Linked DNA regions of Elephas maximus indicus. The protein of the gene in region 1 purifies or fractionates together with the protein of each later gene. This does not show direct contact. Links are inferred from orthologs where the notes say so. Each region holds a gene or a part of one and is shown in the gene's direction. Other genes may lie near its edges. The genes, in order: ILK, CAD, ATP2A2 and CCT8.

Evidence for each region.
Region 2: the proteins of ILK (region 1) and CAD purify together in Homo sapiens (affinity purification with mass spectrometry; 4 studies listed by BioGRID and IntAct, with this or other methods). This does not show direct contact. The link is inferred for Elephas maximus indicus from reciprocal best matches to the Homo sapiens genes ILK and CAD.
Region 3: the proteins of ILK (region 1) and ATP2A2 purify together in Homo sapiens (affinity purification with mass spectrometry; 3 studies listed by BioGRID and IntAct, with this or other methods). This does not show direct contact. The link is inferred for Elephas maximus indicus from reciprocal best matches to the Homo sapiens genes ILK and ATP2A2.
Region 4: the proteins of ILK (region 1) and CCT8 purify together in Homo sapiens (affinity purification with mass spectrometry; 4 studies listed by BioGRID and IntAct, with this or other methods). This does not show direct contact. The link is inferred for Elephas maximus indicus from reciprocal best matches to the Homo sapiens genes ILK and CCT8.

What each region holds. Positions count from the first base shown.
Region 1 is NC_064825.1:60,261,525-60,268,876, forward strand, and holds the start of ILK (integrin-linked protein kinase), read left to right. Parts: upstream 1-4,343; 5' UTR 4,344-4,435; intron 4,436-4,816; 5' UTR 4,817-4,908; coding exon 4,909-4,997; intron 4,998-7,352. Other genes in the region: RRP8 (ribosomal RNA-processing protein 8), read right to left, coding at 464-583, 807-903, 986-1,092, 1,283-1,412, 1,506-1,959, 2,379-2,745, 4,019-4,117. UniProt on the Homo sapiens protein: Scaffold protein which mediates protein-protein interactions during a range of cellular events including focal adhesion assembly, cell adhesion and cell migration.
Region 2 is NC_064830.1:45,715,997-45,723,432, forward strand, and holds the start of CAD (CAD protein), read left to right. Parts: upstream 1-4,436; 5' UTR 4,437-4,587; coding exon 4,588-4,669; intron 4,670-4,910; coding exon 4,911-5,050; intron 5,051-6,953; coding exon 6,954-7,083; intron 7,084-7,436. Other genes in the region: ATRAID (all-trans retinoic acid-induced differentiation factor), read left to right, coding at 1-97, 760-881, 2,743-2,814, 3,009-3,080, 3,184-3,305, 3,583-3,680, 3,889-3,993. UniProt on the Homo sapiens protein: Multifunctional protein that encodes the first 3 enzymatic activities of the de novo pyrimidine pathway: carbamoylphosphate synthetase (CPSase; EC 6.3.5.5), aspartate transcarbamylase (ATCase; EC 2.1.3.2) and dihydroorotase (DHOase; EC 3.5.2.3).
Region 3 is NC_064840.1:8,905,761-8,913,168, forward strand, and holds the start of ATP2A2 (sarcoplasmic/endoplasmic reticulum calcium ATPase 2), read left to right. Parts: upstream 1-4,402; coding exon 4,403-4,520; intron 4,521-5,142; coding exon 5,143-5,160; intron 5,161-5,245; coding exon 5,246-5,328; intron 5,329-7,408.
Region 4 is NC_064836.1:32,734,957-32,741,842, forward strand, and holds the start of CCT8 (T-complex protein 1 subunit theta), read left to right. Parts: upstream 1-3,871; 5' UTR 3,872-3,971; coding exon 3,972-4,031; intron 4,032-6,886. UniProt on the Homo sapiens protein: Component of the chaperonin-containing T-complex (TRiC), a molecular chaperone complex that assists the folding of actin, tubulin and other proteins upon ATP hydrolysis.

The sequences.
Region 1 (7,352 bases):
TGTCACAGCCTTGAAGGCCTGGGCAGACCAAAGCTGAAAGAACAGCAGCTGTGAGTGAGCAGAGGCGCTGGTCTGCAGAGAGAAGATCTGAAGAGAGGAGTGGAGACAGCAAGAAAAAGTCCATGTGGCCCCTGAGATGGAAAAAGAAAACTAAACCCAGAGATGCCCTGAATTCCAAACCATGTAGTTTCCATGACGCCTAAAGGGATCCATGATTCCTGGACATCCCTGTAGTCTCGGGATAAACCCCTTAGTCTTTAGCTAGTCTGAGTGACTTCATGCTTCTTGCAACCGAGGAAGCCTCCATTAGATCAGGGGCCGAGCCAGGGCCTTCATCACATTTTGTTCTTTGGATGGGGCAGGGTGACATCAGGTCCTAGCTCACAGCCTGGCTGGCTACAGTTTTCAGGGCTCTGAGCCAGGAGTTTGAACCCTGCCTCCCCTTTCAAGGGAGGTCCAGCAGTCACCTGCGCTTGTAGAGACATGGCTGAAGCTTTAGGCCTGAGAGTTCAGCCTTTGGCCCCACCAGAGGGGGTCCAGTCTTCTGGAAGTCGAACAAGAAGAAGTGGCTGTTGGTCAGGTCCTAGGGGCAGAAAAGATCCAGTAAGTTCTAAATCCTCATCCTAGCTGCTCAAAATACCTCCTTCCATCTCCCACCCCTGTTCAGAAAGCTTCCCAGGGCTACCCCATGAGTTGTGCCTTCAGAGAGCAAATGTCTGTTCTTGTGCTTATGGCCTCCTTCCTGTACACCACTCCCCTGGAAAGGGCTGCACATAAAACAAAAATAGACTTTCTAGGGCACTTACCTTGGAGATGACCTTGAAGCCCAACTTGGTCACAGCCCCTAGAAAGGCCCGAACATCTTGAAAGCGGCTGCTGACCTCAGCCACTTTCAGAAGACCCCTGAGAGGGATGGAGAGTTCTGTGTAAATGCAGACACGCGCATGCACACACATATATGCATCTGTGTCCACAGGGTTCCTACCCTGGCTTCAGCACTCGATTTGCCTCCTCCAGGAAGTCCCTGATGTTAGTTCCCATCAGTGACAGGCAGAACACAGCCACGTCCACAGACTCATCCTCCAGGGGCACCTGTGGAGAGAGACTGCTGTATGAAGCATGCAGCTGGGCAAATGGGGGCAGGCACACAGTGTGGGGAGGAGGAGAAAGCCAGCACTGGGTGCTAGGGTTGGGCACCTGGGCGGGGGGTTAGGAGGAGGAGGGCTTTAAAGAGATGAGCACATGGACCTAGAGCACAGTCCAAATACACAGATGAGTTTACCTGGGCCATGTCACACACAGTGACCCTGGGGTCCAGAGAGGCCAAGTCAAAGCAATGCACAGGGTTCCGGATACTCGAAGCCAAGCGACAGTCCCCACAGCCGAAGTCAGCCACCACCAGAGACGCAGGCCTGGGAACGGAAGGGAAGGGTCGCTCACTGGCCTGGTCAGAGCCCATGATAACTGACCCATTATCACTTCTTACAGTGCCCACCCCCATTCACCTCTGGCGAAGATCCCTGATGATGCGGTCCACAGGCTGCAGGGGCCACTTATTGACTTGGCTCTGGAAGCCACGGTGGTAGATGAGAAAGGCCTCTGGGTCTTCCTGGAAGAGGCGCTGTGCAGCACTGCTGGGCCCTGAGTATAGCTGTTCGTTGAGGTAGCGAAATCGGGCGCCATCCAGCCTCTGTACCATGCGGGCTCGCAGAGCTCCCGCCCGAGCCTCGTAGCCGTCTGGCCTGGGAGGAGGAGGCACCTCTGCCTCCTCTGTGGGAGCCAGGGCCAGAGCCTGGGTTGGCGGTTGAGGTGGCCGAAACTTGTTCTTGTGTCTCCGCTTATTCTTCTGTCGGTTCCGCCACTGCTTACGGCTCAAGGTATGGGGTAACTGAGGGGAAGCAGACCCAGGGCTTGGCTTGTGTGGGTCATCTGCAGCACTACCCTTCTGGACTTTGGAACCTGCAGGTAGGGCAATGGGAAGGTGTATTTGAGGCAAGATCCTCTGCAAGCAGACACTTGGCAAGTCACATTGGCCATATGCCTGTCTTTTTTTTTTTAATGTGGTGAAAGTATACACAACAAAACACTCACCAATTCAACAGTTTCTTCATGTACAATCCAGCAACACTGATTACATTCTTCGTGTTGTACAACCATTGTCACTATCCTTTCCTGAATTATTGCACCACAATTAACATAAACTCAATATCCCCTGATATGCCTGCCCTTGAGACAGAGACTGTGGCCTGGATGAAAGTACTTCTTATTGGCTAACCCCAGTCCTAATGGTGACAGGTAGCCTCTGTCACACGTAGGATCAGCTGATCTTCCCTGCCCTCCCCTGCCCCCCATATATATATGTACATATCCAAGAGTACCTGTTTGGTCAACACTATCCAGGTGCTGGGCTCTGCTTGAAGGAGCCTGTTTCTGGCATTTCCTCTTTCTTTTCTCCTCTTCAACAGACTCACTGCCAAGAAGAGCCCGTTTGCAGCTTTTCTTCTTTCTTTCCACTTCCTCATCCTCAGAGTCACTCCCAGACCTGGCCTGTTTTTGATGTTTGTTCTTCCTTTTCTCCTTTACTTCAGCAGAGGCACTAGCAAACAAGGCCTTTTTGGGGCGTTTCTTCTTCCTTTCTATCTCCTCCTCTTCAGAGTCACTTTCAGGTAGGCTGGGGGGTTGCTGGGGAAGAGATGCAGCCTCCAGGGCCCGTAAGGTGGCCAAGAGCTTGCGGTGCTTGGAGCCCTTGGGGTAAGCAAGGTATGAGAGTGGGGTGAGGAGGATAGATGAGTTCTGGAGTGTAAGAAGGGAGAGGTGGGAGCCTGATTCAGGCACTGGCAGAGATATCTGGATTCTTCCCAGTCAGCTAAGTTGGGAAGCCTGCAAGACCCTGAAGAATGTTCATTTCCTAGTCCCAAACCTTGGGAGGTGGAGAGTGGAGAAACCACCCACTCCTCCTTCTTCAATGTGCAGATGAGGCAATGGAAATTCCCTAGATGAATGTGCTCAGGCCACAAGCAACAGGGCCCAAGGCCAGAGACCAGGAGTTCCAACTCTCAATTTCAGGCTTTTGTCCCCAGCTGATGATACCACTCTATAATAAGTAGGGAGCCACAGGTTTCTGAGCACAAGAGTGACAGGATCAGATGTGCGCATTAAAGATGCCTCTAACTGCAGTGTCAAGAGAAAACCTACAAAGAGACCAGTGAGAAGGTTGTTCCAAGTGTACAGGCAAGAGAACAGTGATCTGGATTGTGGCAATGAGCTGAGGAGATGAAAAGGGAATAAGCAGATGTCAGTCATGCAGATTTCATATTAGAAGCACACTGAAGCGTACAGGAAGTAAGAGGGTGAGAAAGTACAGCAGCCGGCACATATGTAGAGGCTCAAAGGTGGAGGCCTTAGTGGGGGAGGCTGATTCTGGGTTGAAGTCCTGCTGGGTGGTCCTAGACCAGGCACTTACCTTGGAGGTTCTTAGTTCCCACCCATACCCCCTTTAATCATAATACTCATAGCCCTATGTCACAAACTCTTGCTCTCTCCAACCCATTCTCCACACACTGTAACCAGTGATGTTTTCAAAATGCAAATCTGAACAAATCGCTCCCCTGTTACAAATACTTCATTGGCTTCTCTCTGCACTTAAAATATACAAAACTTCCACCTCTCCAACTTAAACATCATCCCCTCTCACTTACTCTCTGTGCTCCAACCACACGGATCATTTTGGTGGGCCCTAACAGGTCATAAGCTCTTGCCCCACGACCTCTGCACGTGCTCCCCCCTCTCCCCCCCCCCCGGTCTAAGGAACCCTTTTTGCTTAAATTTCTATTCATCACTTAGCTCAAATATCATTTTCTCTTAAATGTTTTCGGATCTTCAATCAGAACTCGCCTCAAACGGTGCCGCTGGGCCCACCTACCCACCCAATACACACTTGGTGTGCCCCTGGCGCTGGGATTTCCCTAATGCTTTGGCGCCCCAAAACAGGTCCCAGTGCCCCTGCGTGGCCACTCACCTTGATACGCACGGCTGCCGCGGGCCGGGGCCCTGCGGCGACGGGCCCGAAGGCCGTGGCTGCTAGGGCCTCCTCGGTCCACTCGGGCTCCTCGAACATGAGGGCCAGGAGGGCAGAGTCGCGGTGCCCGGCGTCCCTCCACGTGCGATAGCGTCTCCCGGAGTCAAAGTGCCTACACCAGCCGGGCAGAAGCTGGGAACCAAAGAGTGAAAGCCAGGGGCAGCTAGAGCGGCCGGCGCAGCGCCGAAAACCATCGAGTTTCCACACTAGCGAGCTAGAAGGGCAAGGGAGGGGCGGGAAGGGAGGGAGGGAGGGAGGCCCGCGCCGGCCCGCTAAGGCCAGGGGCGGGGCGGGGCCGGGTGGCGGGCGCGGCCGGACGGGAGTTCCCCGGAGAAGGCGCCTCGAGCCCGAGTCCCGGTGAGTGCGGGGCTACCCGCGCCCCTCCCCAACACTCAGGCCCACCAGCCCGTGACCCCTCACTCCGTCTGAATTCCCGGGAGGGAATGGGGTCCATACGCGGGGATCCCCTCCTACCGGGTGTACGGTGCCCGGACCTCCCCACTCCTGCCCCCGCCCCCAGCTCTGTTCGCGGGTGGTGTCTCCGTGCCTGCCCTCCGATATCCCTTCGGCAGACACCAGCGCCTATCTCCTTCCCCTCCCGGACTTGCCTTTCCCTCATGCCCAGTGGACACAGTCGGGGATCATCCCATTGCACTAAATTCCCATTCCTGACCCCCTACAAGCCGGGGACGCAGCGCCCAGACGCCCGCCCCCAACAGAAACACTTCTGTCTTGTAGAGGACAAAGGTTGGGGCTCACCCCTCTCCCCTGGGTCACGCTGTAGTCCCCAGGCTTACCCGATCTAGGGCACTCAGCGCCGGGACGCTGCTATGGACGACATTTTCACTCAGTGCCGTGAAGGCAACGCGGTTGCGGTGCGCCTGTGGCTGGACAACACGGAGAACGACCTCAACCAGGGGTGAGCTCAGGCGGCTGGTGGGGAGAGGATGGCCAGAGTCTTACCCTTCTCCCCGACGTGGGGTGCTCATGTCTGGCGGAGGTGGCCAACTTTTCCATCCAGTGTGATGAGTGTTAAGCACAGCTGTGGAGGGCAGAGGGTCTCCACGGAAGAAGCAGTGTTCGAACAACTGAATGAGTTTCACAGCCAGAGGCCGCAGAGAGCATTCCAGCCTCAGTGAACTACATGGGCGAAGGCAGGGAGGCAAGACACAAAGCTGAGAGTTACAAGAAATTTTCTGGAGTTCCATATGGCTGGAGGATAGAATACTGTTTCTGTGGGCTGCAGCGTTGGATACAAGAGGAGAATGATAGGAGATAAGTCTGGAGAGGACTGCAGGGGTTAGCCAGATCGTGTTAAGATATTTAGGGCATAATAAGGTCTTTAAGAGCAAACCCTTAAAGCTGTGTAGTAATATGATGAGATTGCCCATTTGTTAAGTATCATCTTGGATGCTTTATGAAGCACAGGCAAGAATGCGTATCAGGAAGCTATTCCAGAAGTGACAATGGGTTGGACTAGAATGGGGGCGCCTGACAGAAGTGATCTGATTCCAAAAATCTTTAGGGTGAGGAATTGGTGGTGCTTGCTGTGGGAAGTGAGGAAGGTCATAGGTGATAACCAGGGTTCTGGCTTGGACACTTAGTAGATGGTGGTTCCTTTTACTGAGATGGAGAAGACTGAAGGAAGATGATGAGTACCATTTTGCATGTGTTAAGGTGACAAAACAGTAGGTTATTGGTTATGCAGATTTTGTGTTCAGGAGAGATCAGAGTTGGAGGCACAGATTTGGTAGATATTAGCGTATAGATAATAACTGAAGATGTGTGTGAAGGAAAGAGCCTTGGAAGAGTGGAAGACAAGACGGCAGGGGATGAGACGCCTGCAAGGAGACGGAAAAGGAGCAACCAGAGATTGAAGGAGAAAAAGAAAAGTGTGTTAGTAAAGCTCAGAGAATGTTTCAATGAAAGCGGAGTGGTCAACAGTAGTGCAGTGTGACAATAATATAGGCAGCTTTAAAATAACTTTACCTGTTGAATTTGCAATTAGGATATATTTGATGATTTTGGTGAGAGCCATTTCAGAGAAAAAATAAAGTGGACTATATTGGGTTCATTCATTTAAGGAAACGTACTGAACATTTCCTGTGCTGGGCTCGGGAAACCCAGAGTCAGATCCCTTGATCCCTGCCCTCAAGGTGGCCAACCTGTGGCAGGTTAAAAAATGAATGGGAGGTGTGGAAATAAAGTGAATGTAAATGTAAACAAGTTCTTTAAAACTGGCTGAGATGGCAGTAGTGATGGCGATTCACAGTGGGGATTATAATTTATTTTTTAAAGTTGGGGGAGTGTAATGTTAAGATTTGAAAGGTAAGGATCACCAGTCATCTTAGTTTAAGCTTCACTGGTTCCCATTAGACTTTATACAATTTCTCCCTCATAATTTGCAGAGTACACTTGTTCCATTTTTCATATTTCTCAGAGGGTGCTTGATAAAAACAGTAAGCACCATTCCTACTTTCTTGAACAAACAGAGGCTTAGGCATCTAGGAGGACTCTTCTGCCAAAAGGTACAGTGGCATTAGGGAAACTAGAAGGCTTTGGTGCTGGTTTCAGGGGACAGGGTCTGGGGGCCCAAGCTGGATATATGCTGGGTATGAGGGGGTGGAGGGACAATTTCCTGCAGGCATCTCTGGGATAGGAAATCCAGAGCCTGAGGTGACGGGCAACTGGACATTGGGGAGAGCCTTTGTGCCCATACTTTTGCCCTCAGGCTGGTCTGCCCTGGGGCCACAGACTGCTGCAGGCTGATAAGTCAGGGCACAAATTAAGGAACTGAGAGGCAAGACTGATAAGCAGGAGGTTGCAATTGCTTCCGGTGGATACCCACCTCCCAGGAAAACTTTTGGCTAGCTGTGTTAGCAGATGAAGGCAAGCTGTAGGAGATCTGTAAATTAGAGGCGGCAGTCCCCACCCCCATCAGCTGCTTGTGTGTCAGGGTGGCTAGACCCCTGACAAGCTCCAGGCCCCGCCTAGAGCCCCCGATGGGAAGTGACTGAAACACTAAGGCATCTGGAGGCTGCTAGCCCAGACCTTGGCCCGCCCCCTGCCCCGCCCCTTGGGTTTGCAGCCTGGGACTGGAGGGAATTTCCTTTTATGGCCCCAGCCTGTCAGGCAGGCCCAGCTCCCACCCAATTGCTTTGTTTTTTGTATACTTCTTTTCCTTTGTAAAATACATGCCCTTAAGGGAAAAAAAAAAAAAAAAAAGTCAGGTATAGTTTTCCTTCCAAAGCAGCTGTTCTCATTTTCTTCTGTT
Region 2 (7,436 bases), on another chromosome or scaffold:
GGCGCGTCGCAGGCCCGGCGGTCCTACGAGCCTGGTGCTCTGTGCAACCGCCCTGCTCCTCGCTCTGGGGGTGGAAAGGGCTCTGGCGCTACCCGAGGTACCGAAGCAAGTCAGAGGTCGGACTGAAGCGGAGTTGCGGGCAAGCTGGTGTATAGCGTTCGCACGCCCTGCCCCAGCCGGCCCGCAGCTCAGATTTCGTCCCTGAAGCCTCCTCCCGGGCCTGGCTCCGGAGTTCGCACGCCTCCTGGCGCCCCCGCCCTGCCTACCTTTAAAGACTTGAAATTTGACCTCCTCACTCAGTTTTTGAAGAGCTTGAAGCTTGTCTTTTAACAGAGCAGTCTTGTGGCTCTTCTGTAAGCTGTGCGCGCACGAATGCAGTATTTCGTGCGTGGGCAGGACTTTACTTTCCGGAATGTTCGATGAGTTCATTGTGTACCTTCTTGTTCTTATACACCCGGTCAAACCGGAGCTGTCAGATTGAGAAGTCACTGGAGAGGGCATAATAAATATGGTCGAATACTGTTTTTCAAAGATGAAAGTATTTTCTTGGAGAGGGCTGGTAATGGAAGTGTTTGATGCGCTGCTTTGCCTCTAGGGAAAGAAAGATATCCCCTATCCAACCGGATAAAAGGTAGGACAAGAGCCACTTCCCCGCCCTTTGTTAGAGAAAAGGAGAGGTATATTGGCAGTTAACTCTGGATCGCCGTTCTGTTCTTGACTTTTCTTTCTGGGGTCCTAATAGGTTTCTCTCTTCTACAGATATGCATCCAGTGCCCAGGGAGTGTGCAAAATTTGTCCGAAGTGGCTCTGTTTTGTAAGCAGACCCCGAAGCTAATGTTGTATGCCCGCTGCTGCTTCAATCAGAAGGGCGCCATCTTGGGGTGAGGGAGAACACATCCTTGGATAGGGGAGGGCGGGGGAGTTTTCAGAACAGAGTCCACAAGGCTTGTTTGATAGACTTGGCATAACTATTCGTGCCTATATTGGCGGCACCTTTTAAACCATGATTCATTCTCATACTTTTAAATCTGTGTATCATTTTTGGCTAGGAAACAATCCTATAGTTTTTTCTGGTTAAAGCTGCATAAAAATCATAATTTTTACCTGTTTTTTAAAATTTTTTGATAAGCTGTTATGCTTCCGGTTTTGTTTTATTTATTATCAAGTCTTTGTATTATTCACTGAGTGTCTCCAGTTATTCTCCAAGACATTATGCTAATACAGTTTTCTTCCCCTTGTGATTAATTCGTGTTTGAGGCAAATTCCCCTCACTGTCCCTTATACTAGTTAGTCCCTCAGATTCACTCCTTGACCCTCCGCCCTTCTCCGTGTACACTCTGGAGAATCCACCTATTCTTATGGCTTCAGCTATAACCACCTCGTAGGTGTCTCCCAAAACTAGTTCTCTCAGTGTCCTTAACACCTCTCAGAGCTCCAGGTACGTATGGGTACTTCCAACTTATTATTAAACATTTCATCTGGAATGCTTCACCTTCACTTCGAACTTCCCCAAAACCAAATTTTTCCATTACCATTCTCTTGGTTTTAAGACCATATTTATAACTATTTTCTCAGGATAAAGTTCAAACCATGCATTAGACATTTGATACCTACCACAGACTGGTCACAATCCACCTTTCCTACATTATTTCCAATTATTTGTCCAGTCAAACCCCCAGTGAGGGTCTGGCTTCAGCCAGATTCACTTACAAAGGCATTCTACTTTTGTTTCTTTGTTGTTTTGGAGAGCCTCTCTCTTTACCTGGAATTACCTTCTTTCACCAAATTAGGACATAGCCATCCTTCAGTTTTAGCATTTTTTGTGAATGTTTCCCACTACTAAATCCCAGAGTAATAGTTTCTTTGACTTCCTCTAATACTTAGTGTCTGTACCACTCAAATTTATTTACACGCTGTACTGTTATTTCTTTCATATTGTAATTTAACGTTTATATTGTTTTTGGTGATTTTCTTGTTCCCCTACTAAATTGTAAGCTACTTGAAGGCTAAGATACTGAGTTAGACTTTATATGTGTGTGTATAAATATATATACTTTCCCAATGTTTTGCAATTAGTAGGCATACAGTACATATTTGTAGAATAAAGGAACGAAAAGTGATAGATATTGAAGACAAAATAATTGCAGCATGGGTCCGTAACGTCCAGGAGCTTATATCCAGCCTGTGATAGATAATGTACTTTGAGGAAATTTTCATTTATGTGACTTGCATCTTTTTTTTTTTTTTTATTCGAAAGCCCTTTTTGGATCTGAGACTCGTAATGCCATAATATGAGATCCACTAATCTAGACAAGGAATAAATTTCTTCTAATATGTGTACAGATGTGAATCCAATATGTGTACAGATGTGAACTGACAGGACATAGTACTTATTAGAACAGCATTGACCATTAGAACTTTCTGCAAAGATGGAAATGTTCCATATCTGTCTGCCCAATACAGTAGCCACTGACCACATGAGGTGTAGCCAGTGCCAGTGAGAGACTGAATTTTTAATTTAATTTTAATTAATTTAAATTTACATAGCTACATGTAGGTAGTGATGATTGTATTGGACAATGCAGGATTACAACATCTACCACAGCACCGAGTATGTGGCTCTCACACAGGCTGTTTTCAATTTATACTGATAACCTAAAAGGGAGTTGGGTATCAAATACAAACCTTGTCATGAATGAAGAAGAAGGACATACAGTTACATTGATTACTTTGTTTCCTCAGGCTGGATCTCCAAAACTGTTCTCTGAAGGACCCTGGTCCAAACTTCCCTCAGGCACATACTGCTATCATCATGTAAGTGGTTAGGTCCCCTCCCTCCCAGAAAATGACTATGGCAAAGGGTTGATGAGACAGTCTTTGGGGATGGACTCCTAAAAAGATGGATGAGTATTAATGTCTAAGTTTACTCTGGATTACCAGTCTAGGAAGATGTGTGAATGGAGATGGGTGCTGTCCTGAGCAGAATGCTAACAGTGTGTGCTTTGCAGAGACCTGCAAGCAAACCCCCTCAAGGATGACTTGGTTAACACCTTCCATGGCTTTACTCAGCTCCAGACTCTGTAAGTACAGGGTGTGGGGATTAGGGGAGAGAATAAGAGGAGTAGTGCTGTGAGCTCAGCGACTTTGGGTTGAATATATTATGACAACCTGTGTTGTCTTCAGGATACTGCCACAAAATGTCAGCTGTCCTGGAGGTATTAGTGCCTGGAATACTATCACCACTCACACAGACAAGCAAACCTGCCAAGGGCAAAGGAACCTTTGCAACAGCACTGGAAGCCCAGGTATGCTGTCTCATCTCTGCCCTTCTGGCAACTGCCTTTCCTCTCTTACTCATTTTAGATCAGAAAGACTAAAATTGCTTAGGTGCCTTTTGTTCAGAGTTCTGAGGCTCTAATTGGGAAAAAAAGTTTTAGAATATATTGTCATTATGTTCTGATTATCTATAGTGATGTTTACCACTGATCTACAAAGGATTGAGAGAACCTGAATTGAAGCAGATATTTAAGAAATTTATCTGATGAGATCCAGTGATGTTCTCTGTTTTTCTCTGGCTGCCAGAAATGTGTCCTGAGAATGGATCTTGTGCTCCTAATGGTCCAGGTCTCTTGCAGTGTCTTTGCGCTGATGGTTTCCATGGCTACAAGTGTATGCGCCAGGTGAGGAATGAGGCCTTAGAGAAAAAAGCATAGAGCAGAAACCTGTCTCAAAGAAGAGCCACAAGACCGGAAGCTAATGCACGTCACCCAGGGGAGCAAAGTTAGAATTGTCCTGAATGAGGGAACAAGTGTACTAACAGGGAACTAGGTGTTAGGCTGTAGCCTTCAGTGTAATGCTCAATGAGAGTTGTTGGACTGTTACTTACAGGGCTCGTTCTCACTAATTGTGTTCTTCGGGATTCTGGGATCCACCACGGTATCCATCTGCATTCTGCTGTGGGGGACCCAACGCCGAAAAGCCAAGTCTTCATGAACCACATGGGTCCCCCTAGTGACCTAGTTAAGGCGTCATCCAGGCCGAGGACGAGGTTGGAAGGAAGATGGAAAATTGCCCTATTCTCAAGTGTTGTGGACACCTTCTCCAGGGGTAGAGTACCAGTTCCCGTTTGTGTTGTTGACTATAATAAACACTTTTTTCCTTGTCATTGTCATGTGGTTTTTTGTTTGTTTGTTTTTAGGAAAAGTTGCCCTGCCTCAGTGTGTTTCTTGGTTGGGATGTAAGAGGCCGCTTTGGGGTAGTCAGTGTTTTCGGGTTTCCCTAGCCTTTGCAGGGGAGGAGGAGACCGCGGTCTCGCGGCGCAGAGCCACCGCGGCGCCGCTCCGGCCCCGCCCCGTGCGTGCCCGGCCCCGCCCCTCACGCCGCCGGCTCCCTGCGCCGCCGCAGACGCCCGGCCGCCGGCGCGCTAGGCTGCTGCGCGGACCACGCCCGCCTGTGCTCCGGCACCGGCGCGGTTAGCCACGTGGACCGATTCCCGGCGCGTCGTCTTCACGTGGTTCCAGCGCCGGCTGGGGCTTGCGGCGCTCCACCGCTTGTCCGTGCTCGGCCCTGCCTCTAAGCGCCGTTCCCATGGCGGCCCTGGTGTTGGAGGACGGGTCGGTCCTGCGGGGCCAGCCCTTTGGGGCCTCTGTTTCGACTGCCGGGGAAGTGGGTAAGCAAGCTTGGGCAGGCTGCCGACCTCATCCCACTCCGATCTCCGCACTGCCTTCCCTGCCCAGACCCCGCCATTTTCCCGCCTGCACACCCTCCCCGCGTTCTGCCGCCAGGTCCCCAGCCCTGCCCTTACCACCCGTCACGCCCATGGCAGCGTACCCTGACGGGGGCATCTCTTCGCCCGGGGCGGAGTTCTGGAGGGTACCCTGCGGAGCCCTCTCCCTGTCCCTTTTTTGCAGTGTTTCAGACCGGCATGGTGGGCTACCCCGAGGCCCTCACTGATCCTTCCTACAAAGCACAGATCTTAGTCCTGACATATCCTCTGATCGGCAACTATGGCATCCCCCCAGATGAAGTGGATGAGTTCGGTCTCAGCAAGGTAGCCATGCCCAATGCTTTCTCTACATTCTTTTTCAAATCAATAATTATTAGTGAAGTGAAGACATTGACACTCTGCCAGGCAACCTGGAGAGAACAAATATAAACACTGAAGTGATAAGTACTGAGGTGACTGTAGTTAAACTTGGGTTGGTAGATACTTTGAGAAGCTCAGCATGGTGGGAGCCTAGGAGGAGAGAGCTATCCCCTCTTTGTTAGGGGCACCAAGGCTATAGGCAAAGTCCAGAATATTGTGTATGTAGTGGAGACATAGGTCTCACAACAAACAACAGTGAAGACATGAATCAAGGAAAGTGGCAAAAAGTGTAGAAGAATAATGCAGAAGTAACGCAAAGATGGGTTAGATACAATAGGAATGAAGTCAAACCAACGTCTAATCTTGATCTGATAAGGACCCTTCGGAGCTTGTTTAACAAGAGTCACATGATGGGAGCAATGCTTCAGGATTGCATAGATTAGTGGAAGGGGGCTGGAAACCAAGATCACATCTTTTTCCAGAGACATTGGGTCCCAGTTCACCTACAGAACCAGTGAAAGTTGGTTACAATCTTCTAAACATACTTTCCTTACCTCATTTTCTACTTCTTTTCTGTAGTGTTCTTACCTCTAGGTAAGAAAGTTCAGTTTCCTCTTGAAGTTCAGTGAGGTTGCCACTATTCTTTCTCCTTTGGAATTGGAAACCAAGATGCCCTCTGAGTTAAAGTAGTAAAAAAACTAGCAATTGGGATAATAGTGGAAGTCAACATAGCAGTATTCCTTAAAACCCATTTTGTCCATGATTCCAGGCTTACTGAGCAACCGACCATTAGATTCTAGATTTGCCTTCCAGGTTACCCTGACGCTGGAAAGACTGGATAACGAACACTGTTATTCCTGGAAAGGCCCATTTGTTATCACAAACCTATAAATACATTGCACTCTTAACTTTTAATTCAATATTTTGTGAATTTGGTTAACATACATCAGCCTTCAGCTCTATCAGCTCTAGGCACACTGACAGAATTGAGTTTACAGACCTCTAAAATTGTGGCCCTGGCTAGACCAGAGAGATTGAGACCTTCCGCAACCACCAACCCAACGCCAATGCCCTTGTAGCACATGTGTTGTAAATGTACTTGCCCATGCCAGGTGGACTTCGCTTGTCAGGGAGGGCTGTTTTTACTCATCTGCCAAACTCTATCCTTCAGATTCCTAAAGAACAGTCTCGACATCCATCTTCCCTTAAACCTTTTACCATTTAGCAGAATGGAATTTAAATATGCCACTACTTCCCAAATAAACTACTGGTTTCTCCATTTAGTTACTAAATGCTTGTTGATCAGTTAACAAATTCGTATTCTCTTCTTTTTTTAATTAGTCCTTTTGGAGTGGAGAGGTATAATCACTTACAGTATTGTAACTTGAGCCTTCGCTTTTATTTAGTAATGTATCGAGCACCTACCTATCTTAGCACCTTGTTTGTATAACCTGTGTAATTATTGTTAGTTTACATGTCGACTTGTTAATTTTCTGCTCGTACGAAGGAAATAAACATCATGAAGACTGGACCCTATCTTTTCTTGCTCACTGCTCTATCAGCATCTGTTACAATGCCTGGCACCTAGTGAAGACTCAAAATGTTTGTTGACTGATGCTATGTGTCAGGCACCTTGCTCTTGAGTTCACGGTTCTGTGACAAAGACACACTCCATGTGTTAATGTTTAATGTGGGGGATGGTATTGTTGGTAAAGGGAGCTGTGAAGTGCTGGGTGGTGGTGAAGATGATACAGTGTAACTGAAATAGAGGGCCCATGGCCACGTAATGGGAGAAGATGGGTAAAAGTGACAGAGGGAGATATTTGGCCTTGAGCTGCTCCTCACAGTCTCCTCCTTCCATCTACAGTGGTTTGAATCCTCAGAGATCCACGTGGCAGGACTGGTGGTAGGAGAGTGCTGCCCCACGCCCAGCCACTGGAGTGCCACCTGCACTCTGCATGAGTGGCTGCAGGAACATGGCATACCTGGCCTGCAAGGTATGATGGCAAGCACACGTGTGTCTCGGCGGAGCACAGTATGCCTGGATGGAAAGGATCAAGATAAGGTTTCCTAGACTCCAGTCCAAGCTTGTGATAGAATATGCCCGATCTAAAATTTTTTTTTTAGAAGGGTTAGATTGCTTTCTGGGGCCAGAGAAGCTATCACTTAGGTGGAAGATTTCAAACATAAAAGGAGAGAATAGTATAATAATCAAGTCTTGGTTAATCTTATTTCATCATCACCATTACCACTCCCTGATTATTTTGAAGCAAATTTCAGACTTTGTATCATTTCATCCACCAATAGTTCATCTATCTCTGAAAGACAAGGAGTCTTCTTTTTAAAAACA
Region 3 (7,408 bases), on another chromosome or scaffold:
CATTTGAACAATTAGATCCAGTTGATTAGTTCTTTTCAATCTGGGTGATTCTCTAGAAGTTCTGTTGGATAAAGACATAGAAGGCATGCTGATCAAATCTGTGGGTAATCCAAAGCTGGGAGGTATAGCTAAAACATCTCTTGAGAGATGAAGACTCCAAAAGACCACAACATACTGCCAATATGAACCTGCTAACATTCAATTACAGGCAAAATTTCATCTGGGTTAAAAAGAATTAACAAAGCAAGTACATGCTGAGAAGATTTAACCTGTCCGCAGCTCACATACAGAGGACTCTGTTTTGAGTTGACTGTTAACACAGATCAACCATGTGCAGGTGAAAGGATCCAGAAGGTGGGTAGTGATAACTGTCCAGAGTTTTGTGTCCGTTAGTGGGCATCTGCAGTACTGGATGACAAGGATGCTGAGAGGCAGCAGAATTATGCTGTAGGAAGAACAACTCAGGGACTGAGCTGCTCTTTTTCAGCTGGGAAAAGAGACTTTTAGCACAATAGACATCTTGAAAGGGATATCACATAGAAGAATTAAAGTTATTCAGAGTGGTTCCAGAGAGCTAAACAAGAACCAATGTATAGAAGTTAATGGGAGGTATATTCATATTTGGCCCAGAATGAGACTGCTTTACTGTTTAGAGTGGTCCCAGTACGGAACAGGCTGCCTTTTGCAATCTCCATCACTTTACAGGAGGCGCATGGAAGGTTGGGGAGCTGACTGGAGCCTCTCATTTCCAAGTCACTCTTTTTGTCTCCCTAGCTTTTTAAACCAGGCTGCCTGACCAGCTTCTGTCCCCCTTTATTGATGCCTTTGAAGTTCTTTGATTAAATCATCTGTCTTTCTGAATCACAGGTTCCCTTCTTCTTTTCTCTCCCTGTCCTCAATTTATTGAATATAGCTGGAATCCTTGGTGGAAAAAAGAGAATATTTATACAATCCAATCTTGTTTTTAACCTTGCTAAGAAGAAACAAGTGTAGTTCAATAGATGAAATATATTGAGCACAAGTTTACTTCTACATAAGAGAAACTAGATCCATCTGCCTATGGGAGGCTGGGTTTATGGTAAATTTGGCCACCTATAAACATGCTTCAATATTCCAATTCAGAGATATCAACAGATTGAGAAATCAAGGGTATAATAAAAAAACCAAACTATTTGCCAGCGAATCAATTCCAGCTTATGGCAACCCCATGCGTGTCAGAGTACCACTGTACTCCATAGGATTTTCAATGGCTGATTTTTCATAAGTAGATTGCCAGGCCTTTCTTTCAAGGTGCCTCCGGGTGCACTTGAATCTCCGACCTTTCTATTAGCAGCCAAGCCCTTGACTATTTGCACCACCCAGGGACTCCAAGGGCGTAATAATTGGTATGATAATATAGAAGGGGGCAACCCTAGGTGAAAAATCCAGCCTACAGGAGATAAAAAATACTTGTGAAGAACAGCCGAGCCGAGGAGGGTGATGGCAATGTGGTAGCAGTACCAATGTGAACTTAAACATTACTCATCTCTGAGAAACCTATAATGTTGTCTAGCTTTGCTTTTGTTTATTTTAAACCTGATGAACCTTCATAACCATTCCTATGAGGCAAGTAGTTCAGAGTTCCTCCTATTTTTCACAAATTGGAAATCAGTGATCTTTGGCTCAGCAAAACTTCCCTGAGGCCCTCCCATGGGCAATGCCCTTTGCAAGCCATTGAACAGTTGGGGATGGGGGGACTCATTCATTCATTCCAATAGTAGGCACTCAGTAATTGATGAGTGTATACCAGAGACCGCTCTGGGTACTGAGGATGGATGAGACAGCCAACATCTTTTCATGGAGCTTACCTATATCCTAGTCAGGGGAGATAGGCAGCAAACAGCACCACAAAAATGCAAAATCAGGGATAAGAGCTGTGAAGAAAACAAAACTGAATAATGTCATAGAGGGTGCCTGGGGAGGGTAGCCATTTCAGATAGAGTAGTCATCAAAGACCTCTCTGGGAAGGTGATGTTTAAGCTGAGCTCTGAATGATAAAATGGAACTAGGCATGTGCAGGTCTGAAAGACCACCATTCCGGTTCTTCCAGTACAAAGGGCTGAGGTGGGTCAGGAGCCCCTCAAGAACCTCATGATTGCCCAGAGGCGCTTACAACTGTCATGTAGAGTCCGGACCACAGAATGAAGATCCAAAGTCAGATGCCCAAGATAATTTCCAGGCTGAGAAGAGGTACTGATCCTCCTGCCTGTGGTGCTTCTATCAGTGCTGAGGGAGGTGAAGCTGAAGAATCGGTAAGAAATGGCGGCGCAGACCTGGTGTCCAGGGACAAGAATCACCAGCCTTCTATCACCACATCCCCAACGATGGTCACGTGCTTCCTGCAAGAGGCTTCAATCCTGTGACCCAACCAGTTTCTACCTTGTTCTTTCAGTGCACTGCTTTACGCGAGCACTTTTTTTTCTTGTTTCGTGTAGGGCTTTTTTGGTCCAAGTATCAATCAGAACTGCGCGCCAGCCTCCACTCCTTGGAAATAATGAAATGAAATGACATGCCTGTTTTTTTCACTGGGGTAATATACTATGATTTGCATTTGCTGAAGGAATTTATCTGAAGTCCTGAGGCTGAGCTGTCTAGGACAGCTGAGGTGCTTTTTGCTCCGCTTTTGTTCATGCAGACGGTACACTACTGCCAAACAGTTAAGTGGCCTAAATGCTTCCTTCTGAAATACGCTTCATTAAGAAAGCTTCCCTTCCTTGTGAAGCCAGTATGTTCAGTTTTGCTCAGAAATTCAATGCAAAGGTCCGTCCCTTTAAGTAGGAATTTCTTTATATTGTCGAAATTTCTTTTATCTTGCTTGTACCTAAGCTTCGTACAGACCCCAGAAACAAATTATCTGTGACTTAAGAATAGCGTTAGGAACGAAGTCCCTTCTATTGGGGAAAGTGGAGTCTAGAAAATCACCTTCATCTTCTTCAAGTCCCAGCCAAGCATCCGACGCAATCCTAGCTGCAATTTAGCAGTTACGGTAGCATAGCCTGTAACTTCTATGCAGACATGCATCACAGGCGATATGGGCTATTACAAATAAAAAACCTCCCCCTCCCTCAGACTGGGGTTCCCTGTCAGGGTACAGAGCCCGCTGGAGAAGGGCTGATACGGCGTGCGGTGGCGCCCCGGCTGGGGACGTGGGTTGCGGCGTTCCTGAGGCGACAGATGAGGAATTTGAACCGTGTGGGAAGAAAGCTGCGGAATTCCTCCCCTCGGCTCCTTGGGGATCTGAGGGAGACGCACTAGCACCCAGAGCGCGGTCCTGCAGACAGAGGCGAGACCGCGAGCCGAGAGCACCACCGAGCGCGCCTTGGGGAAGCCCAGCGTGGACCGAGCGCCTCGGCCTCGCCCTCGCCTTCCCGGCCACCCACCCTGGCCGAAGTAGGCCCCGAAGGGCGTTTCCTCGGGGCCGCGAGTGCACGGAGGGAGGCCCCCGAGGCCAATCACACTCTGCCACCCTGGGTTCTGCGTCTGCGGGAGAAGCGCGGGCCGGGAGCCGCAGGACTGAGGAGACGCCGGGGCGCGCTATCCGCCATCCCGCTTCTGCCCTCGGGCCGCAGCGCGCACTGCGCGGGCACAGCGGCGCGCTCCGGCCTCGATCCGGGTTCCTGGGCGGCGCGCGGAGGAGGCGGGGCCTGCGCGGCGGCGTGGGCGCGAGGCGCGCGATAGGGAGGGAGCCGCGCGCGGGGAGGGGGCGGGGCCGCGCCGCCCGCGCCGCGCTGGGCGCTCTCGGCCAATGAGCGACGTCCACATGCCGCGGCGGCGGCGAGAGGGGAGGCAGCAGCGGATAAATGCTATTAGAGCAGCCGCCGCGGAGCCGTCCCCGACGCCACCTCATTCTCCTCCGCCGCAGTTCGCTCCGCCGCTGTCGGGGGTGCGGGGCTGAGGGAACAGGGCGAGCGCGCCGCACACCACCCCGCTGGCTCGCCTCCCTCGCTCCGTTCAGCTCTCTCAGGGGTCCGCCGGCGTCCCCTCCTGCGGCCCAGGCGGGGCGGCTGATCGCCTCAGGAGAGCGGGAAGCACTGGGGGCCGCGGCCTGCGCTGCCGGCGGGCCGTTGAGGGTGAAGGAGGCCCTCCTTTCTGCCGAGGGTCGGAGGGCCGGGGGCCCCCAGCCCGCCAGTGCGGGCGCCGGCGCGGACCGGCCTCGAGAGGGGAGGTTGTCGTGAGAGGAGGCGCGGGGTGATTCAGCGCCCGGGAGGCGGAAGCGGCCGGAGGAGGAGGCGGGGGAGAGGCCGCGATCGGCCAGCGCGCGCCTGGGCGCCCGGGGTGGCACGAGCCGGCGGCGGCCCGAGGGCGAGTCTGAGGCGAGGAGGCCGCGGGGACGCGAGAAGAGGCTGGCCGGGCCCCCGCCGCCATGGAGAACGCGCACACAAAGACGGTGGAGGAGGTGCTGGGCCACTTCGGCGTCAACGAGAGCACGGGGCTGAGCGTGGAGCAGGTCAAGAAGCTCAAGGAGAGATGGGGCTCCAACGGTAGGTGCCGCGCCGGGTGCGGGCGCCGCGTGGGCCCGAGCGCCAGGGAAGATGGCTGACCCGGCTCCGCCGCGTGGGGCTCGGCCGGGCGCCCGCCGGGGTCTGCAGGGCGGCTCAGGGCCCGGCCCCGGAGAGGGGCTGCGGCGGGCCGCCCCGTCGGGCTCGACCCTTGGCGCCCGGAGCTCTTGACCTTCCCGGCGCGCAGCTAGCGCGGTGGCCCCGTTGGAGGGAGGGCCGAGCCCTGCGAGACGTGTTCTCGTCCCGCGCCGCTTTCTGAGGGCGGCGTTGCCGCTGGGAAAGCCTCTGCTCTCGTACTCCCCGAAGTTACACATCTGGAAGAAGTGATGACATAGCTGAAACGACTCCTTCCTTCAGGAGGCCAGTTTCGCCGCGATGCTTTCCTCCTTCGGGTTAGACATAAGGCCCCTAAAAACTATTGTCTATTTCATTCTAGTATGCTTCATATTAAAAAAAAAAGATTGTTCATGTATCTAGGTCTTTCTTTCAAAGACAGAGGTGCTGATAATTTTAGCAGTTCTTTTCAGAAAGGCAAGAGTACTAAAAATTTTTTTTTTCTTGCCCTCTTTCGACATGCTGCTTGGCGAATTTCTTCATTTTACAGAGTTACCGGCTGAAGAAGGTAAGTCATCTTAAAAGGCCCCCCCCCCTCTTTGGTGTGCTGGTGTTAAGATGACAATTATAACAAGTATGTTTGTTTCTAACAGGAAAAACCTTGCTAGAACTTGTGATTGAGCAGTTTGAAGACTTACTAGTTAGAATTTTATTGCTGGCAGCATGTATATCTTTTGTAAGTATAAAGAAATTTATTTCTTCTCCCCCCCCAAAAGTTGAGGATATTCCATAGATGAAAAGCCAGAAAACAGTGGTGTCCATTGGAGGAAAACTTAGAGATTTATGCTGTCTCCATGTTTAAAAAAAAAGAAACATGAGATTTTCAGGTTATAAGCAAAACACTTGAAGCCATTCGTGTGCAGTACATATTAATAGATGCTTGATGTTTACAATGTAATTAGAAATTGTTCCCAAATGTGGCAGGGTCTTAGAAATTTTGTTTTACTACCAAAAAGTTCTTCATTGGGAGGCCTTTTTGGGTTCATCCATTGTTATGTTGTAAGATCGTACTAAGATGCTGTCTGGTGCCTCGTCAACTGTAAATAGAACTTACAAAAGGAATATTCTAGTTGCTTTCCCTTCCTGGTAATGGCAAGGTGACAGTTGTTCCTGAGAGTGACAAGAATGATGACGGCAGTGATGGCACCACTGTTGACCAAATTTGGTCACTGACCTTTAGGATGGTATATTTATCTAAATTGGACCCCTGTCTTGAGTGACTTCTGGGTTGAGAGAACTAGATTCAGTACATTGGTTCTGAATCTTAAAAGAAAAAAACCCAGCATAGGGTTTTTTTCTTGTTCTGTATGTGCTTACCGGCTGGAGTCCTGTACGGTTGCTAAGAAACTGGTGAAATGCAAAGAACTACAATAGAAAGGTTTGAGGGGGGGCGGTATGAGAGGATATTTCTAGGCTATTAATTTTTTTTCTGTTCACTATTAATTTTGTATTGCTTTTTTTTTTTGAGCCATGCACTTTTTTGGTAGATTTCCTAAAAACGTTCGTGAGCAGGACACAGATGTTCCTAATCCTCAAAGCTTGAGATCCCTTTTGTTTTTAAATTAGTTACAGCATTTTATTCTTACGAAAACCGTGATGGGAAGTGAAATTCATCCAGGCGGTACTTTTTTCTGGCTTCACAAAATTGACGCAGCTTGAAGGTTTCATTTTTGTATGTACGTATGCAAGCCCCAGGGATCTATCTCAGTCTGTGACAATCATGGATAGAGGACTATTTTGAGAACTAAATAAACTAGAAGTGGGCATTTAATTAGTTCAGGTGAGGGAAAGGATTGCTTTTATCTTCGTTTTTTTAAGTAGAGGGTGTCAAGAGGTGAACATCTGGTGTGATTTTGTACGTAAATTCTGTCTACTTAGCCAAGTGATATGTAGCCATTAATAATTCACCATCCCCATACTAGAGTCTTTTCTGTGGTGTTCATTGAATAAAATTGAGAGCATCGCATAGCAAACCGTTTAGCATACTGAATCACTCCATATCTCTTGTGTGTATGTTTTTGATTTAATCTTTTTAAAAATTTCCTCCCCTCCCCCGGTAAATGCTGCTGTATCAAATGAGATAAATTGAGTAGACCTGTTCGATTAACTGGAGCTGTATTACGTTGCCACCGGGCAAAACAAGTGACATATTTGGGCTAGTATAATATTTATATTTAAGTAGGCTACATAATTTTGAAATAGTCTCAGTTCACTTTGGCAGATAATAGGGTCCAATTAGGGTTCAACAAACTGTTGCCAAGTTATTCTGTCTGTTGTAACTTAAAGCAGTGTTAGAAATAATGTTGCTGATGTTACAATGAAGTATTTACTGGCTGTTTGGGTGGTTCTTTAACTCTGAAGTCATTATTAGGTGTTAATAGTTTCTAGGCATTTTCAAATGGGTTTTAAGTTTGCTGTGAAGTAGGACGTTGGCTTTTTAGAGCTATATTTTGGATTTGAAATTTGAGTTACGTTTGTGGTAACTAGTTGGGAGTTATTGTTCAGGAAAGAGCAGTGTTATGTTTCTGTTTTTGTGGGTTGCTAATTAACAAATGAATACTAAGTGTTAGGAAGTAGTTTTACTATAGAAATCACTTAAATTTGCCTTGCTTTGGTTTGTTTGGTCAAGAATTTGTGGGTGTTAAATCTGTTTTGTTGATTTCCTTCTTGTGAGGCTGGCACTGCTTTATTGTACTTGACCTTTTCACTCCTCATATCTTTATCTTTCAAAAGAAAGCCCCTGAGTCTTTTTTTTG
Region 4 (6,886 bases), on another chromosome or scaffold:
ACAGAATATCGACTGAGATGTTTCAACAAACGGATGCAGCACTGGAAGTGCTCACTCATCTATAACAAGAAATTTGGAAGACAGCTACCTGGCCAACTGACTGGAAGAGATTCATATTTACGCCTGTTCCAAAGAAGGTGATCCAACCGAATGGAGAAATTATTGAACAATATCATTAATATCACACACAAGCAAAATTTTGATGAAGATCATTCAAAAGCAGCTGCAGCAGTAGATCGACAGGGAACTGCCAGAAATTCAGGCTGGATTCAGAAGAGGAAGTGGAACCAGGGATATCATTGCTGAAGTAACACAAATCCTGGCTGAAGGAGAGGATACCAGAAGGATATCTACCCGTGTTTTATCGACTATGCAAAGGCATTCGACTGCATGGATCATAACAAATTATGGATAACATTGCAATGAATGGGAATTCTGGAACACTTAATTGTGGTCATGAGGAACCTGTATATAGATCAAGAGGCAGTTGTTCAGACAGAACAAGGGGATACTGAGTGGTTTTAAGTCCGGAAAGGTATACGTCAGGGTTATATCCTTTCACCATACCTATTCAATCTGTATGCTGAGCAGATAGTCCAAGAAGCTGGACTATATGAAGAACCGGGCATCAGGGTTAGAAGAAGACTCATTAATAACCTACTTTATACAGATGACACAACCTTGCTTGCTGAAAGTGAAGAGGACTTGAGGCACTTACTGATGAAGATTTAAGACCACAGCCTTCAGTATGGATTGCACCTCAACATAAAGAAAACACACCCCAAAATCTTTGCAACTGGACCAATGAGCAACATCATGATAAAAGGAGAAAAGATTGAAGTTCTCAAGGATTTCATTTTACTTGGATCCACAATCAACACCCATGGAAGCAGCAGTCAAGAAATCAAAAGGTGCATTGCACTGGGCAAATCTGCTGCAAAGGACCTTTTTAAAGTGTCAAAGAACAAAGATGTCACCTTGAAGACTAAGGTGCGCCTGACCCAAGCCATGATGCTTTCAATCGCCTCATATGCATGTGAAAGCTGAACAATGAATAAGGAAGGCCAAAGAAGAATCGACACCTTTGAATTGTGGTGTTGGCAAAGAATACTGAACATACCACGGACTGCCAAAAGAACAAACAAATCTGTCTTAGAAGAAGTACAACCAGAATGCTCCTTAGAAGCAAGGATGGCAAGACTGCGTCTTACATGCTTTGGACATGTTGTCAGGAGGGATCAGTCCCTGGAGAAGGACATCATGCTTGGCAAAGCACAGTGTCAGCAGAAAAGAGGAAGACCCTCAACGAGATGGATTGACAGAGCAGCTGCAACAATGGGTTCAAGCATAACAATGATTGTAAGGATGGTGAAGGACCAGGCAGTGTTTCGTTCTGTTGTACATAAGGTCGCTATGAGTGGGAACTGACTTGATGGCACCTAACAACAAGAACAACATCTGGAACATAACATCAACCCTGATGCTCAGCTCACAGGAAATTCAGATCACCTGGAAACAATCCTCTTTGTCACCATAAAAAAGTGTTAGGAGTGACAACTGAAACCATTTAAAACCACACAGCTTATTATCCACATTAGCATGACTTTACTATTCCACTGTCTTCAACGCCAGTCTCTCGGCTCTGCTGCCTCCCTTTCTCTGCCATCACTTCTCCCTGACTTCAATGTTACAGCCCTCTCTCTTGGTTTCCTGGTTCCAGGAGCTTCCCAGCTCAGGGATCCCGGGTCCAGTGGGCACGCTCTGCTTCTGGCTCTTCTTCCTAGGTGGTAGTAAGATCCTCTCCTCTCTCTCCTGGAATGGCTCTTTTTAAGCCCGGAAGGATGGCAAAACTGACCAATCCCCTTGGTGGGCCACAATTCCTTTATTTGCAAAGTCCAACCCAATCATTTGGGTGGGAGTTACAAGACCATGACAAGAAAGGCCACGTAAAAGTGACCATCACCTGGCAACTCTATTATCATTCAGTCTTTGTTTATTGTTGTAAAAAAATAACACATTTGTCAATTCAACATTCAGTACACAGTTTAGTGCTATCAATTATAATAATTATAATCAGTGCCAAATTTCACCATAAACCCTCACTACTTCCTAAACATTAAAAAAAAAGAAATAGCTCTCCCTTATTCAATCTTTTTAAATCAGATGATGTGGGAAGATTCAGAGATCAGGTTTTAAAGGATTCTAGGAGAGTAAAAGTCCCTGGGTAGTGCAAATGGTTAACGTGCTCTGCTGCTAACTGAAAGGTTGGAAATTTGAGTTCACCTAGAGGCACCTTGGAGGAAAAACCCAGCGAACTACTTCCAAAAAGTCAGCCATTGAAAACCCTGTGGAGCACAGTTCTACTCTGACACTCATGGGCTGGCCATGAGTTGGAGTTGCCTGCATGGCAACTGGTTAGGAGTGTAAAAGGGATTTCCAACATCTGTCTGTCGGTTCATCATACTGTGGTGGATTTGCATGTTGCTATGAAGTTTTTTTTTTTTTTTTTATGAAGTTATAGCGGAAACCCTGGTGGCATAGTGGTTAAGTGCTACGGCTGCTAACCAAAGGGTCAGCAGTTCAAATCCTCCAGGCGCTCCTTGGAAACTCTATGGGGCAGTTCTAGGTTTTGTGAAGTTATTGGCACCAGTATTTCAAATACCAGCAGGGTCACCCATGGTGAATAGGTTTCAGCAAAGCTTCCAGACTAAGACAGTCTAGGAAGAAAGGCCCGATGATCTAAAACTTAACCAATGAAAATACTATGGATCACAACAGATTATTGTCCAATATAATGCTAGAAAATGAACTCCCTCGGTTGGTTGCTGTGTCATGGAATCAGTTTCGATTCCTAGTAGAACTGTGACAGACTAGAACTGCCCCATAGGGTATTTTTGGCTGTAATGTTTACAGGAGCAGATTGCCAGGTCTTTTCTCCATCGGACCAGCTGGGTTAGCAGTCCAGCGTGTTTTTGCCAGCTCGAAGACTCTTAAAATGCACGGTGGCCCCTAGCAATGGACTCAAACATATCAACCATCCTAAAGATGGTGCAGCACCAGGCAGTGTTTCAGTTTGTTGTACAGGTGGTCACCATGAGTCAGAGCCAACTCGAGGGCAACTAACAACGACAACAAAAGGGATTTATTTTTGCAGGAAGAAGTAGAAAACGGGAATATAGATAGTGGTTGAGAACATGCATTTTGGGTTTTTTTTTTTTCATCTGGGTAGGAATCTTGGCTTTAACATTTACTAGCTTTGTGGTCTCAGGGAAATCATTTGCCATGTGTGAACTTCAGTTTCCCCTTCTATTAAATGGAGAAAATAGTTAACTTGTTAAGACTGGCCGTTAACTAAGATACTGTGCGTAAAGCAAATAACAGAGCGTGGAATATATGAGTCATTGATACAATGCTACGTTCATTAACGAATTTAATCTTCACCTTCACGTCCCCAGCACTTCCTGCAATGCCCAGCACAGAGCCGACGCTCAATTATGTTATATATACATACATGCATATATATATATACAAACAGGTGCTCTGCCTTGGAAAGAAGAGGCACACCTGCCCTGATGTTGGTGGCTGGGTCTGGGAAATTAAGCCTGGGAGGGGGGCGTTCCCAAGTCAGAACCAACGAAAACCAAACGTTCCCGCCGACCCTAACAGCACGACGAGCTCGGATTCAAACGGCCTAGGCTTCTTGCGCATGCGTTGACCGGAAGGCGCGGCCTGCCACCCGCCCGATTGATCGACTTGATCGAAGATCGTCTGCTCGATTCTGGCTGCGGGAGCTGCCCTCGCTCTCGCGATGCTGTCGGCTGAGGATTACGCAGGGGAGAGGAGGCGTGCCCAACTGGAGCGACTGAAAGCTTGAGGCCGCGGCTCGTAGCACTCCCAGAAGGCTGTGCGCGCCCCTCGCTTCCTCCGGGAGCAGCCGAGTGAGCGCGTGAGCGGCTCTGTGCAGACCGAGCATGGCGCTTCACGTCCCCAAGGCCCCGGGCTTTGCCCAGATGCTCAAGGAAGGAGCGAAAGTAAGAGATGGAGGAAGAGGGTCAGGTGGGGGAGTCAGCGTGGGGCTGCGGCGACCTTAGCGAAGGAGAAGGGCCTAGTAACGGGCCGGACACGCTCCCCCGGCGCCGCGCGCGGGGCTGGAGAAGATTCCAGAAAGGGAGGAGTGCTCAGTAGGACTCAGCCCATCGGTCCGCGGGCATTTCAGTCCCTCCCCGGCCCGGGGAAAGGCAGGTGGGCGGAGGGGCAGGGACGGCAGATGAGGGTCGAGGCCGGCATTTGCGTTCACTTCTTGGCTGGGCGAGCGCAGAGGTCCTGGTGCACGTTTTCTCTATGCGTAAAATGGGGCTAATTTGGCTCTCCACTTTTACAGGATATTGTGAGGGTGAGAACTGCTTTGGGTCCGCGAAGCCGGTTCACGCACAGCTCTTGGCGTAGTGTTCGAGGTTATAGGATGGGAAAGAGCAAGGGGAGGGAGACGCAACGAGGAGAGCGTAGAACAAGGACCAGTTCTTGGCTGACTCTTTCCACAGGAGAACGGAGGGCTCCCCTCTGTCGCTTTTCGCTTGTAGAAGCAGGTGTTAGAGTAGGACAGACATTACATGCAATCCAAGTGGGGTCTGGCCCCAACTGCTGTGAGCTAGTTTGGTGTAGAACTTGTCCCTCTGAGTCTTGAATTCCTCGTCTTTCAGTTGAGGAGATGGGACCAGAAGACGGTACCTTTGAGTTCTAACCATGTGACTTACCTGTGTAACCCGCAAGATAACTGACACTCTGACCCAAATAAAATTATCTTGGCTTATGGTCAGGTCTTGAACGTTGGAATAATGGTGTTCTGATACTCGTTTCCCACATTTTCTTTGCCTAATTAAGGAAATACAGATCAGTGAGGTTGAATTTAAGGTTTTATGGGACGTAAAGGGGCACTAACAGTTTTAGAAAGCTAGGTTTTTACTACTTGCAGGATGTGCTTTGAGGATAACTTGGGTGTAGTAATGTCAGTGTATAATGTAAACGTTGGGGAAACAAGTTCGCTGAAATGGGCAGTGGCTGCTTCCGTAAAAAATCAGGATGAGCACTTTTCATTAATACAGGTTTGGAAAATTGTTCTGTATCACAAAACCTTATTTAAATGTCATTCAGATGCTAGTAGTTTTCTGCAGACTGCTGTATGTGAGATAATCATTCAACAAATAGGGACTTGAGGGCCTGCAATGAAAGAAATCTTAGCTCTCTTAAACTTTATATTCTTTTGGGGAAGAAATAATCAAATAAACAACAACATTTTAAATAGTTGCCTGAAGAAAACAAATAGTACTGTAGTTGAGAATGACAGAAATTAAACAAACAAAAAAACTGCCTCCCTAAAAAAAGAAGGGTCAGGGGCAAATAAAACAAATGAGATGTTTGGGGAAGAATGTTTAGCTTAGTTCTGAGTTGACAGGATGGACCAGCCAAGATCAGATGGGAGAGTGTTGAAGTAGAAAGACCCTGAGGATGGAATTAATTTGACCTGTTAAAAGAGCAGTAAGAAGGATGATGGGACTGAAGCTTACCAAGGGTAGACACAAATGATAGATGTATGTAGAGGAGCTGTAGGCCAGGGCAAGAAGCCCGGGTGGCAGAGTGGTTAAGTGCTCGCTGCTAACCAAATGGTTAGCAGCTTGAACCCACCAGTCACCCTGTGGGAGAAGGATGTGGCAGTCTTCTTCTGTAAAGATTTACAGCCCTAGAAACCCTATGGGGCAGTTCTACTCTGTCCTACAGGGTCTGTCAATTCAACTTTCAAAAATAGGACTTTTAAGAACTTCAAGAAGCAACAGGGTTTGGGGAGGTATCTGACAAAAGAATAAGTTCACCTGGAAAACTAAATATACCAGAATATCCAGAAAAGACTAGGTCGCTATGAGTCCCAGTCAACTCAGTAGCAACAGGTTTTGGTATGCAGGGGTGAGGTCTTGTTGGACCTTGTAGCCCTAAAGAGAGATTTAGGTTTTATTCTCAGAGTGATGGGAAGCCATAGAAGGGTCTTAAATACGGGAGTGATGGGGTCTGATTTATGATTTAAAACAAACAAAAAAAACCTTGTTTCCCAGGATGAGGGTGAGGGAAAAGAGCAAGAGAGGAAGCCTGGGGGTCAGACTGACTGCTGCTGTAGGAGTCCCGCTCTTTTCACTGGAGAAACTTCTGAAGGAGTGGTTGTTAAGCTTTTCTGAATCACAGCTCCTTCTATGAATATTTTTTAAGCTATGCCTTAATGTCTAGAACAACACAGTCCAGAACTTTCTGCGATGATGAAAATGTTCTATATCTGTGCCACTACGATAGCCACTATCCAGATGTGATCACTGAGCACTTGCACTGTGACAAGTACTACTGAGGAACTGAATTTATCCTAAATAGCTGTGTGTGACTAATGGCTACTGTTTAGGACATTGCGGCTCTAGAAAAATGCTCAGGTCTGCAGGAAGCTCATAAAGCCTATCTGAGGCCCCAAATTAATTCTAGCTCTGAAAAAGTCCAGTGTAAAATTTCAGAATTTTAGCATTCCCACCATTTCACCAGTTTTTCAGTTTGCGTGCTTTGGAATTGTAATTACAAGACCATTCAGAAGCCTGTGTGCTCTAGCGCCTAAGTATTTGGAGGCAGGTATTTAGCTTCATTTACTTTATGAGTGGGAATTCCCACTGGCCGTAAAGCCTAGGCTCTTAATAGAGTAAGGAAAATGTCCATACCACATTTCAACCTGTGGTTAGAAAATACAGATAAACTCTGAAAAGGTGTTCTTCCTGAAACATGTTTTGTGATCGATCTTGTACTCTTCCCCACACTGCCTTTTCACTACCTTAAAAACATATGTAGATATTATGTTTTGATG